Linked DNA regions of Oryzias latipes. The protein of the gene in region 1 interacts with the protein of each later gene in a pairwise test. Links are inferred from orthologs where the notes say so. Each region holds a gene or a part of one and is shown in the gene's direction. Other genes may lie near its edges. The genes, in order: aryl hydrocarbon receptor nuclear translocator-like protein 1, neuronal PAS domain-containing protein 2 and endothelial PAS domain-containing protein 1.

Region 1 (4,532 bases):
TCCACGACCTCAATGTCTGAACCCTGGATGGTCACCGGTGACTGTGATGGTGAGGACCTCCTGAAGTCCAGGACCAGCTCCTTTGTCTTGCTGGTGTTAAGCAGCAGGTGGTTAACTTCACACCAGCTAACAAAGTCAGAGATGGCCCCCCCCCTGAAACACAGCCCCCAATAGCACCGTTATCTGAAAACTTCTGCAGGTGTCAGAGGTGGGAGTTGTAGGTGAAGTCCTATGTGTACAGAGTGAACAGGAGAGAGGACAGCACAGTCCCTTGAGGTTGAGTCCCTCGCCTGTGGGCGGCCGTGGTGCAGTGGTAGGGCGGTCGACTCATGATCGTAAGATTGCAGGTTCGATTCCCGCCTTGCACGCCCATGTGCCGAAGCGTCCTTGGGCAAGACACTGAACCCCACCTTGCCTCTGGTGGGAGGTTGGCGCCAGTGTTTGGCAGCGGAGCCGCCATCAGTGTGTGAATGTGTGTGTGCATGGGTGAATGGGACTGTGACATTAAAGCGCTTTGGGCCTTCGTAAGAAGGTAGAAAGCGCTATATAAGTATACGCCATTTACCATTTACCATTTGCCCCACAAACTCCTATTCAAGGAGGCTAGGATTCCCCGATCAAAGCAAGGAGCCAGACCCAGGAGATCCCACTGCAGCGACCCTGTTCACCGAGAAGATCCAATCCCCGATGTGGAGGATCCGTCTGAGGAAAACACTGGAGCTAAAACTAAATGTAAAAGGAATCAAATACATAAAAGTGAAAAAGGTTGTCAATCAAATGAATAAACAGTCAATCGTTGACAATGCATTAAAAAGATAAATTCAAAGAAGTAAAAACAGAAGTGACATTAAAAAAATTCAATATCTAAAAAGATCCTACATTTCAGCCAAATTAAAAAAGGGAGGTGTTGAGCCTTCCTTTAAAAACATGAACAGTGTCCGTGACCCTGAGGTTCTCTGGGAGGATGTTCCACAGAAAAGATCCATAAAAACGGAACGAGGCCTCGCCGTGGGTTTTAGTTCTGGCTTTTGGAAGAACTGAGAGGCTAGTATCAGAGGACCTCAAGGTCTGCAGGGGCTCTTCTGTAAAATCAAATCAGAAAGATAGGATGGCCAACACCAAAAAAACATTTAGAAACCTATAAAAGAACTTTTGTTCTTTTGAGCCAACAATGTGTTGTTTTAAACTTCCAGCTGCTACTTTTACAGCTTTTTGAAGCAAAAAAGCAAATAGGTAGTTTTAAACAATACTAACATGTTTTATTGCATCAAAGTCAGAAACATCTTATATTTAAAATGCATATTCATTGGGTTAGTATTTATTTTCAAACTGACCATTTAAACAATAAACATTAATTCACTTTTCCTTCTTTGAAGGGATCAATTACCGTATGACAAGCATAAGTTTAGTAATACAAGTCTTTTTTTATTGTTAATCTAGAAATGGCATCATTACTATTTATGGCCAGAAGAGGGAGTGAAAGTATAAAGTCAACTTGTCTAAATCTGTAAATCTAAACTAGGTTTTTTTCTTTGAAGGCTCCTCAAATATTTTTCCGGCAACTATTTCTAATTTAAAAAAATGCTTGAACTCAAGTAATGATGACTTTAATGGAAATCATTTTTTTAGATGAACACAATCAATAAAAACAGATACTGACTTAAAATGTTTTGTTACTTTACTCCTTGAATTATGTTCAGTTTTTATCTTCTGTCCACCTGATGTATCCGTAATTCTGTTAAATTAGTTGACATTTCATGTGTGATTTTTTTATCTTTCTTTGTTTTATTTTATTTTTTTTGGCTCGGGACCAGTAAGTGTTACGAGCGTACTTGCTCTCGGCTTGGTTCAGTCTTTTCCTTTTCACACACACAGACGCACACATAACTGGCCCCTGCATTCCTAGGCTAATTCTCCTCTCATTGGTCAATCAGCACGTCAATCATGGTTCTCCAGACTAAGCTTGCGTTTGATTGGTCGGAGGAATACCCAGTGCCAATGAGCAAACGCTATTGGCTGAAAAACTAGGTTAGTGGTCCGACAGGCATGACGGTGAAAAGAAAGTGGGTCACCGATTGAAAATCGTTTATGTCACAGTTCTTCTGTGTGTCTCTACTGCTTTCTCACCGGCGGCTGTCCATGGATCCACGGGTCACTCCGGGCGGTCTGTAAGTACTAATTGAGGGCGAGCGAACGCTTTGTCTTTTTGTGTGACTCGGCTGGGTTTAAATCACGGTGGAGATCTTCGATGTTTTCCCGGCGCTGTGCAGTCATGTCAGCGGGAGCTCGGCGGCCAAGTCTCGGAGTTAGCGTTCCGTAGTTAGCAGCTGTGTGCTAATATTAGCTCGCTAAGATGACTTTGTGTTCTGGATTACGGGAGCAGAAGCCGCCGGGCTTTTGGTGCGGGCTCGTTCTTTGCCAGCTATTGTCGGGCTACGAAGAGGCTCCGGGACGGGGAAGCACCGGCCCGTGAGCTGGATAACGCTGCCCAGGCGTGACCGAGCGGCGGACGGTCAACCGCGGCCACCGCGCTAGCAGGCTAACGATGTAAAAAAAAAAAAAAGGCCGGGACTGGGGCTCGGCGCACGGTTTCTTCGACAGCATCCAACCTGCTGCTGCAATTTCCTAGAACCACATCTGTCCGCAGAGAACCGAACGGAACCGAGCGGACCCGCTTGTTGTCGCAACCCCACGCCACGCGCGTGCGTCTTCTGAAGTGTTCGTGCTGGAATTCATTGGCAGAGAGTGATGGATGTCGCTGTGGCTCCGGAGCAGCCGGGGTTCCCCGGTCTGAGCCCCGCCACAGGGTTTGACTGCGGAGGGACCCCGCTGGTCTCCCACCCCAACTCACTGGGGACTCGGCGGTCTGTGGTTCGATTCCTTCCTCATCATCGTGCTGCAACCATCAAGCTTGTATTCTTACGGTTCAATCAGAGCTGAGTAGACGGGATCCATATATTGAAATGTTTGTTTTTTTCAGTTGACGTCTTTTGACTGTCCGTCTCGAGTCAGGCTCGTGCCTCCCTTTCCTGCTGCTCAGCCGGCATCAGTCTCGGCGGGTCTACCGTTCGGTACCGGGCTCGTCGTGGTTCTGACTGGACCTCAGACGTGACGCTGCAGCTGCTTTGGTGCTGATCTTCACGATAGCATCTAGAAAGCAGCAGCAGCAGCTTGTGATGACTCAGCAAAAGCTGCTCTCTCTCTTGTCTGAGCCGCTGTTTACACCAAACTGCACATGAAAATTAAACCAAGGAGAAGTTCTGAAGTGTTTCTGTCATCAGACATTCTTCTGGAGAATCATGTGGTTTTGTTGGTCTGCAGGAATATTCATTTGAAGGGTATTATTCCTCAAGTCTTTTAATTTCACTCAACATTTTTAATGTAAACAATGTAAACTGTGGGATTTGGATCAAAAACGTCCAAATAACCTCCGCTGCCACACGAGGCTCTTTTAGCCATGGATAAAGGGCTAAAGTCAGTCTGGATAAAGAAACAATAAAGTAGTACAGTAGGGCTAAAAAGTAGACTAACTCAAACTTTATTCAACTCATTCACAGATGTGGAAATACAGAACAGACTGAAACATTTTGACAGGTTTATGCTCCACAGAAACTCAAGTAAAGATGGGTGATCACAACCGGAGTTGAGGTGTAGTGGTTCCTAAGTCAGATTTTCTTTTTCTTTCTTTTAACAACTTCAAGGATTTTAAGTGCACCGGATAGTTAAAAATACATTAAGGATTTCTTAATTGGCTCTGATTTAATTTTGATTAGTTAGTTTTTCACATTTCTGGCTGTACCACAAACATTAAAATCAACAGTGTTTTTTAAAATCCTCTTGACATTATACTACAATTACACTAAATCTGCTGCATTGAGATGATTTAATGACACGGGGTGTTTTTTATTTTGAAAGGAAGTCATTTTAAACTCTGTCAAAAGTGATACACCACTTCATATTTAGAAAATATGAAATCCTAGCTTTAAGTTTTATTTATGCAACAGTCGATCTATATATATCATAATAACAACAAGAACCTAAATATAAATGTTTTATTTTCTTAAAGGGTGAAGTCAGACTTTGTGGCGTTTATTGGGTTGTGGTCAGCAACAAATGGACCTGAATGGCTCTTAAGTGTTGAAGCTTGTAGAGGGGCGGCCGTGTTGCAGTGATAGGGCGGTCGTCCCATGATCGTAAGGTTGCAGGTTCGATTCCCGCCTTGCACGCCCATGTGTCGAAGTGTCCTTGGGCAAGACACTAAACCACACCTTGCCTCTGGTGGGAGGCGGGCGCCAGTGTGTGAATGTGTGTGTGACTGGGTGAATGGGTCTGTGACTGTAAAGCACTTTGTCATTGTAGGAAGAAAGGCACTATATAAGTATACGCCATTTACCATTTACCCCTGACTTTGCATGTTCTGACTCTGTGACAAAGACTTTTGTGAAAGATGACTAAGGTATTTAAAAAAAATGCATTAGTCTTGTTTTTGTTCAAGATGTGCCATACATTTTAGAACAATGCACCTATGCATT
Region 2 (3,997 bases), on another chromosome or scaffold:
TGCAGGGCCAGCAGAGGAACTCACACCAATCACATTCAGTAAGTTTGCCGGTACAGACCAACACGAGTCGGACGACGCCTTTCTACAGCAACCCTATGATGTTCTCTCAGCCCAACGCCCGGCCACAGCAGGATGCAAACCAAAGACACACAGACAACCAGTTCAGCCAAGAGGGACAGCTAAGGTAAGGACTCCGAAAAATGACGAAAAAGGCTGCACGGCTCATGCAGGTCCTCCACTGAAAGATTTCATTTTTTAACAGGATGCTCCTCAATCAGCCAATGCAGACTCTGGTCCCTACAAGCAGTGTCACCTCACAGCCTTCCCAGTGCAACATGGGTATCTCCCAAACCCTGTAAGCCATCAGATTACACACACACGCACGCTCACGGTTGCTGCGTGTTGGTCACAGTATGTCTGACTGCGTTCCTCCATGCAGATACAACCTGGAACAGCCAATCATCGCCCCCTCCTTCTCCATGCAGCAGGTCAACTGCAACGCCCTGCTTGTGCCCTCGCCAGTGTTCACGTCCCCCATAATGATCCCACACAACACCTTCATCACACATCAGTCCCAGCCAGCCTACCACTCTCAGCCTCAGGCCTCACAGCATTCCCTGCAGCTTCAGCAGCCACAGCAGTTCTTTCAGGTACAAAATTCACAAGTTTGATGAATCATGTGAGCATTTCAGGTAATATAAGCTAAACTTAATCATTAGAGAGCCGGTAATAGAGACAGATGGTATGCCAATCCCTATATATGAGAATAATTTACCATATAATAAAAAAAAAATAGACAAAATACTACAAAAGATGAGAATTAATTTGAAAAATTGATGGTAACGAGTTTTGAAATGCTAAGTTGGACAATAGAAGAAAGGCCAGAACACATTCATGCTCTCTTTTTTTGTGCAGATGACTCAAGGACTTGTTCACAGTGGATCCACTCAAGCTTTCTTACAAACCACTAATGTCTCACAGCAAAGCACCGTGGGATACATTCAGCAGCAGCCACAGTCACAGCAGCTGTCACTGACGCAACAGCAGCAACGGCAGTACCAACATTCCCAAAACCAAACTGGCAACGTTTCAGAGTTCCGAAACATGTTGACTCGGTAGCACCGCGGACTCAGTCCGAGCACTAAAATCTGCCGCTGTGGCGCGGCTCTTCAGGCGCCGTTGTGATCGGTCAAACTTTACTGGAAGACCCCCCTCCCCCCAGGACACGGGAGACCGTTCGCGGGGGATCTGACCTTTGACGTAAAGCCGCCTGTTCTGAGGAAGCCGGCACACAAGGTGCCGCAGACTGCACTGACCCAACGTGGGCTGCAGGATCTGAGCAGAGCCTGAGGTCGCCGGGCCTTCATCAGAGTCATCACAAGGCCACATCGCACCAGGAGGAGGTTTAAGGCCCACATGTGGAAGGTCCTCTTTTTCAGTGTCTGTTTGTAGCCTGATACCCTACCCGAGAGTCAAATATTTATTGTTGACCCATAAATTAATGTTCGGCTTCACTTTGAGATTATCTATTAAATCTTAAGTCTGACACCCCATCCCACAGTGACACATCTTTAAAACGTCTTTAGTCAAAACAAAAAGTGTCACAGCTCTTTAACGGTACCCACCGTCTCTCAAACTGCACGCAGAGACAAGCTTTACAGTGCAATACAACCTTAAGGCAACCGTCATATCAAAGCATGTTATTAGCAGATCCGATGGATGTTACACGGAACTGCTGGAAGCCGGGATCGTCTTCAACCGTATGGAAGGTCGATCTAGATTTTTAAAGCCTCAATCCGAACTGAAGAACGGGTGCTGTGAAATTCCTAGAACTTCTTACACAAAGCTCTGAAATTGTAGTTTTAGTTGCTTCTGAGAAGTTATGCAGTCCTAAAATAAATAAAGAACAGCCACCAAAGGGGGGAAACTTGTGCCTTCAGCCATACCTGTTGTGGTTTGATAGTTTTGTCTGATTACGGCTTTAAAAATCCAGCTCAGGTCCATTTGAGAAATAAAAGGTTTATTTTCATAAGAGTATAATTCTAATTTTCTGCATCAGATTGAAAATATATTACGAAAATAGATTTGTATTGGATATATTACATACATAAATACTGTGTAATGGGTGACTTGAAACCTTTACATGTTTGGCTAGTCTCCAATTCCCTGAAAGTGTCTGTAGTGATGATATCAGATATAAATGGAATTATTATTTTTAAAAAAAAGTATATGATGAAAAAAATCCATTTTATACACAAAAGTTTTAATAGATTTTTGTGTCATTTTAGACAATGAGAGGTCAATCCTGCTCCCTGGTCCTTGTGTCTTGTCCCGTTCATGGTTTAATAAAACATCTTTTCCATGCACCACCACTGATTGGCACGTGGTGTTTTCTTGAACGCATTTGATTGTAGTGCAACAACACACTGCTGCAGATTTTATTCAGGCCTGGTCAGTCTTTTAGTCGTTACCGGGAGATTCTATTATTTTATTAAAGAGTAAATGTTTAGTCCAACTGATTAGTATTTTATTCAAACAGAAAAATTCGGATGTGCCCTATTCCTGAAAAAGAAAATCAAAGCTGCATTTCTCTTAAGGATCATTGTCACTGTGTGAAAATGTTACAATCTTTTTGTGTTGCATCATTTAAACTTTTCTAGCCACATTGGGGAATAATCCGCACTTTTTCTTTGTGCTGGTTTAATGATAGAATTGATGATGTGTAACGACTAATCTGCTTTGCACTTTTGTCTTTGCCAGTTTGGGATTTAAAGACGAACAAACGAATTTATAAGCCGGAGGAATAATGCAGCATTGTGCGCTCTTTGCAGTTCCCAGAGCTCAATAGCAATGCAATGACAGTTGCAACAAACAGTTAGGATGAATGGAGCATGTTGTCGAAACTCGATTCCAGAAGACAAAGAAATGCTTTTAAGCAGGGATGAAATCTTGATAAACCAGTTTGAAACAAAAAAAAACTTTTACACTGGCCCAGTTTTACAGGAAACCCACTTTTGTTGCCACACTTTATAAAAGGCAGACTGCCACCACAGATTAGATGTGCAAGTCCCATTAGAGAGTGGTGCTGCCCGTTTTTTGCACAAGTTGCACCACTCAGCATGTGCGTTCAGTGCTGTTTTACACTTTTTATTTTTTTAAATGTGCAATTCAAAAGAAGAATGTTAATTTATACTGTTTGCAATGTTTCAGAACAGATGTATATTTAGATGAGTTATATGCAGCTGTAATTTATATGGAGAAAATTTTAATGGAAATGTCCAAACATTCCTGTAACCGCATCTTTTTGTTTGGATGTTAGTCCTCCGAAGAGCAGGATCACACAGGGTCTTTTTTGTGTGTGCATGTGTGTGCACAACTAGTTGCTTGCTAACCAAACACACATTTCTAAAGTGGAGGTTCATGCATTCACCATAGAAAAGGAGATTACGGGGGGAAGATTCAGTTTCTCCATCTGTTGGACAGATACTCAGCCAAAATAAAATAGTGACAAGAAAAAGTGCAATTTGTCTACCATCATCCAGTCCTTTTATTCATGATATGAAAAGTCTAAATTTGTGTCTTAGCCACTGGGTTGCTTCCATTTCTCTTACCCAGTAAGGGGTTATGAACTAAGGTCTGGCTATACAAGAAACTCAACAGGTGCCATTGTTATGAATCCACTGTTTTCTGCCTACAGTAGTCGATATTAAAAAAAAAAGACAAGATAACTTGATTTTAAAGTTAAATATACAGAGATTTATAGTACTGGAGATATTCTAAGAATGCAATTCCCTTTTTTATTTTCTGTTTCAGAAGTATTACTTTCAATTGTTTGCCTTGTGGAAGTACCCAAGAAAAAAAAAAAACAATCGATCAAACTCCAGTGTTCAGTGTAAATGATTTTGCATGGGATGTAAGGTGATCTTCATTTTGTTATACTTCACAAAGGCTGTATATAAAGGCACCTGCAGTGTTTGTAGTTAAAATGCCCTAAAGT
Region 3 (4,616 bases), on another chromosome or scaffold:
TTTGGATGAGGCTGAGTCCCAGTGGAGGCAATTGGCCAGCTTCAACTTCCAACGTTTAAAGAGTTGAAGTAGTCCAAAGAATCCCAACACTGGAGCTAAAGCTCCTATGAGTAAGTATTTTTTATATATTGTTTGCGGTTTTTCAAAAACAGTTAAAGCTGCCACAATAGACAACTGCAAACTGCAAAATGCCATCATGAATCTGCACCATGCCTCAAGGAAACATCCATGGAGAGAAAACAGTAACAACAGCAAAGAAACGTCTTGCCCTCATATGTTCAACACCCTGCATCACTACTGGAGTCAGCCAAGCTGAACTCTCCATGGGGAAAAAGATCCCCAAAACAGTCTCCACCAATAAGAAACATCTTCAGTCAAAGTGTGTCAATTGACTTTTCTGCTGCTGTCATCATGCGTCTTTCCTTTTAACCACCTGGAGACACCGTCATGGCCAAGAGGAATTAGAAAAAGACCAGAGTGACATCTGGAGTTGTTTGTCAGGAGCATTTTACCCCCTGCACTTACCGTCTTGGATCACCAAGGATAGTGGATCACAAAGGTTACTGCAGTGGAGCTATACCAATCTAAAAGTCCAGATACATCAGAGGCTGCATCCTCAGTTTTTATCTCATACCATGCTTACACACCTGCTGTCCTACCTTTGACTACTGTGCCAGAGCCAGTTAGGAGTTTGTAAGTTTACAACTTAGCTGAGGGACTGCATCTGTATTCTTTGTGGAACAATGTATGCAATGCTGTCTTTTTTTGGGGAAGAAGGATATGTACATATAAAAAATATTAATAAATTACATAAAATGTTGATACTGCAATAATTAGCATTAAATAAATATTTTTAAGGTAACCTAAAAATCAATTTATTATTGTTAGTTAATGAATAATTAAGCAGTATTTAACTATAATGGTATAATATGGTATAAATGTATTATATTAAGAAAAGCTGTTATCTCTTAATTTTAGTCTTCATTTGATATGTATGTATGTATGTATATATATATATATATATATATATATATATATATATATATATATATATATATATATATATATATATAAAATACAGTTGGTGAAGTCAATAGTAAATTTCGAGGTTGACGAATTGTTTTGGTTGTAAAGGAAAAATGTTTTTGGCTTTTATGACACAGTTTGAAGGCTGTTGAAGTCTGCTGTTTAACAGGAAAAAAACACCACTATTTTTATTTATTTATTTATTTTCCAACAATTTGCACGTTATGATACATTTTGTTGGGCGGATTGTGGAAAATGTTATTTTCTAAGAAATAAAAAAATATCCACTCATTAATTAGTGTTCTAATCTAGAAAAAGTTTTTTTTAAACAATAATTTCAGAGAAACAATTTTCTTTGAACAATTTTATGTTTTTAATGAAACGCGTCGAATTTGGCAGCTGCTGTGGCGGGAAAAGGTCCCAGCTCCTCACACCTGTTGCGCCGCAGAGACAAGCAGGTAGAAGTTCGGCTCGCGCTGGAAGGGGGCGGGCTCTTTACAGAGGGGTGGATCCCTGTTGTGGTTTTAGCCAATCAGCGCTGGAAAACGGCTGTCACCGTGCCAGCTGACATTCGGGTCAGAGACCGCGCAGCTTCTGCGGGGACTTCTGTCAGTCCGCGAGGGAAAAAAGTTTTGACAAGCAGCTCGTGTCGACAGCAGCAGCGGCTCGGCGTTCCCTTCCAAACCTGCAAGAGGTGTCCTGTGAGCGGGGAAAGAAGAGGCCGTACAATCCTCGGCAGTGTTCTGAGACTGTACGCCCCCCCCCCCGAAGCCCCCTTCTCTTACAAGCCCGGACGCTTTCTTCCAGCCAGGGTTCCATGGACTTACTCATCGCATAGAGGGACTTCTTCTCACCTGCGCTCTTTGGCCTAAAAGCGGCACTCCCCTTTCCTCCAAAAAAAAAGAAATACGTCTACTAACTTTTAAATTAAACTTGAGTGGAGTTACTGCTCTGCGTCTGAGTAAGCCAAACTATGACAGCTGACAAGGAAAAGAAGAGGTAAGAGCAGAAATCTATCTGTTTTTCTTACGTGCGCATGCGCTTTGACTTTCTTAATTCATAATAGTATTTATTTATTTATTTATTTATTTATTTATTTATTTATTTATTTATTTGTGTATTTAAGGTAGAAGCAGGGACCTGTTGCTGCTGTGTTCTCGGCCTGATATCATGATGATATTTAGTAAAGCTTTAATGGGTCTTAACAACCTATAAAACGTGATGTAGTTAAAAAATAAACATAAAAATCAAATCAGATTTAACGACGCGTTTACCGGGTGATACGCTGTAAACACACTGAATGGCTTAATGAGTATTTTTTTCATGTTGCTTGAGGTTTTTCAAAATAAAACCTTACCTTCCTGCCAATTCTATGGACTGACAATAGTACACTGGGATGTCAATATTTAAGCAGGATATTAATATCATTTTTAGTTTTAGTTATTCAAAATGTTAATAGTCAATTATAAGCAGAAAAGTAATATTTGTATCCTTCACCTCTGGTTTTGAAAAATCCAAGATGTCTGTAAAAGGACAATAACTGCTGATGGCTTCAGAAATTTATAGGCATCCTTACTGTCAGTGTGATTTCCTCTTGGATTTTTTTTCTTAATTTTTTTGGGAAATATCAATCCAAGAAACGTTAGCATAGAAGGGCATATACAAGGACTTTTGCGTACATTAGTGTCGTGTGCAAATTTCTAGTTCACCTGTGCCCACGTGACGAGGTCTGATCCTTTCAATCAATGTGGCACAGTTTGAGTCTGTAGTTTTTCTTGCATATTCAAATGACTAATGGAGAGATCATGGGGCGAAATTGTGTTTAATTGTGTTTACTTAAGGCTTTCTCGTCTGTCCAGTTCAACCCAAATATTAGCACAGCAAGTATTTTAACTGCAGACAGAAGCTTAAGCAAATGTTTTGAAAGACCTGCAAGTTAGGAAAAACACAATTAAAGTTTTTTTTTTCAAAGCACCATCATAATAGATTTATTTATTTTATCTTTAATTTAAGCACTTAGGCTAGGTAATCATTTTATCAATCTGAAGATTTATGTTTAAATTTTTTAGTGAAAAGTAGATTGTTTTAAAAAAAATAAGGAAAACAAAAACTGGACACATTCTTTAACTTAAATGCTTTTATTGAAATAAGTTATTTTGATATAGTGATTACCTTCATTTTTATCCCCACTTACATGAATTGTCTCCATCAAATATATTTTTATATATTCTAAATATTATGTTACTTTTTGGATAAATTACCTATTTAAAATAAAAGGAAGAGACTAACTTTTATGCCTTTTCCACTGGTTTGTTTTAAGCTTGAATCTCATGTATACAATGTCTCTCTATATGGTATTGTATGGTATATTGTAAGTGGTAAATCTTATTTTAATTAGAAAAAAACAGCTAAAAAGTATTTGGCTTCTTAGACTCTTAGAAATGTTGCAAAAAGTTCTGTTAAATCTCACACAAATGCATTTAATGCAGGAATTCTATCAGTTTCAGTTTGCCATTTCGCACACATTGTGCTCACATTTTGCACGTTTTTAACTTATGGTACTTTTTTTTTCACACCGTGTTAACAGCAAATGTCCTTTCAAAGTTGCAGCCCACTGGTAGAATGTTTTAAGGCCCTTTGTCTCATCATACTGTTACTTGTCATTTTATTTTTTTCTAGATTTATCATAAACAATAGCTCTTCTCAAAAGTTTGAAAAATCAAATTTAATTAATTTAGTCGTGTTTTTTTGAAGCTAACCAGACATTTTCTGACATCTAAAAATGATTAAATTAATTAGTAAATAAGTTGCATTTAGTAATTTGGTTTAAAAAAAAAGTCACCTGAGAGAAATTGACCCAAATTAGTTTATTTCTTATCTACTTTTATATCCAAATTATGTATAAACATGTTTTAGGGGGATTTAGGTGTTTCCATTCTCACATCCTTACATGAAATTTGCTGGTTTAATGTTAGAATTTGCTGTTTTGAACTGGTTCTTCCCACTTTCTGCTTGGAATTGAAGTATCCCTTCTGAGAAATGCAACATTAAGGCCTGTAATGCAATTGGATCAGAATAGATGGTTGATTCTAAATAAATAGACAATATTGCTGAGGTTGTTGTCAGTGATGAAGGCAAACATCAAATAAATTGTGCAGGATAAGATCTTTCAGCCACATTTAAGTCTAAGCTCCAACCTGGAGTCAAAATTTCATCTGTCATCAAAGTCTGACAAGGATTTATGGCAATTTGTTAAACTTGTTTTAGTGTAGATATCATTAAGCATATAGTGGATGTTGGATCATCATTCCTGCCCTTTTTTATTCAACAAGTTAAAGAAAAGTCTCTTCTTAGTGACTGGAGAAGTTTAGATCACTTCTTCTTGAGCTCAGTCTCGTCAGCAGGACTTGTTTTTCTTTTTTTGTTCACAGTCCGTGCATCGACATTTTAATCAAGCTAAGCTGTGGACTTTGACTTGGGTTCCCTCTTTTCTATTTTTACCCTCAAATGTGAAGTGGTGGATTGACAACTATTGAGGATCGTTGTTCTTGTATGGCTTCATTTGTTTTAAAATAAGCTGTAGCTGTTGG

The links.
Region 2: the proteins of aryl hydrocarbon receptor nuclear translocator-like protein 1 (region 1) and neuronal PAS domain-containing protein 2 interact in binary tests that used the Homo sapiens proteins (3 or more experiments, as listed by UniProt). The link is inferred for Oryzias latipes from reciprocal best matches to the Homo sapiens genes BMAL1 and NPAS2.
Region 3: the proteins of aryl hydrocarbon receptor nuclear translocator-like protein 1 (region 1) and endothelial PAS domain-containing protein 1 interact in binary tests that used the Homo sapiens proteins (3 or more experiments, as listed by UniProt). The link is inferred for Oryzias latipes from reciprocal best matches to the Homo sapiens genes BMAL1 and EPAS1.

The regions. Positions count from the first base shown.
Region 1 is NC_019864.2:423,054-427,585, reverse strand, and holds the start of aryl hydrocarbon receptor nuclear translocator-like protein 1, read left to right. Parts: upstream 1-1,680; 5' UTR 1,681-2,168; intron 2,169-4,532. UniProt on the Homo sapiens protein: Transcriptional activator which forms a core component of the circadian clock.
Region 2 is NC_019872.2:16,625,443-16,629,439, forward strand, and holds the end of neuronal PAS domain-containing protein 2, read left to right. Parts: intron 1-5; coding exon 6-184; intron 185-262; coding exon 263-355; intron 356-439; coding exon 440-650; intron 651-915; coding exon 916-1,119; 3' UTR 1,120-3,869; downstream 3,870-3,997. UniProt on the Homo sapiens protein: Transcriptional activator which forms a core component of the circadian clock.
Region 3 is NC_019873.2:14,261,245-14,265,860, forward strand, and holds the start of endothelial PAS domain-containing protein 1, read left to right. Parts: upstream 1-1,585; 5' UTR 1,586-1,999; coding exon 2,000-2,025; intron 2,026-4,616.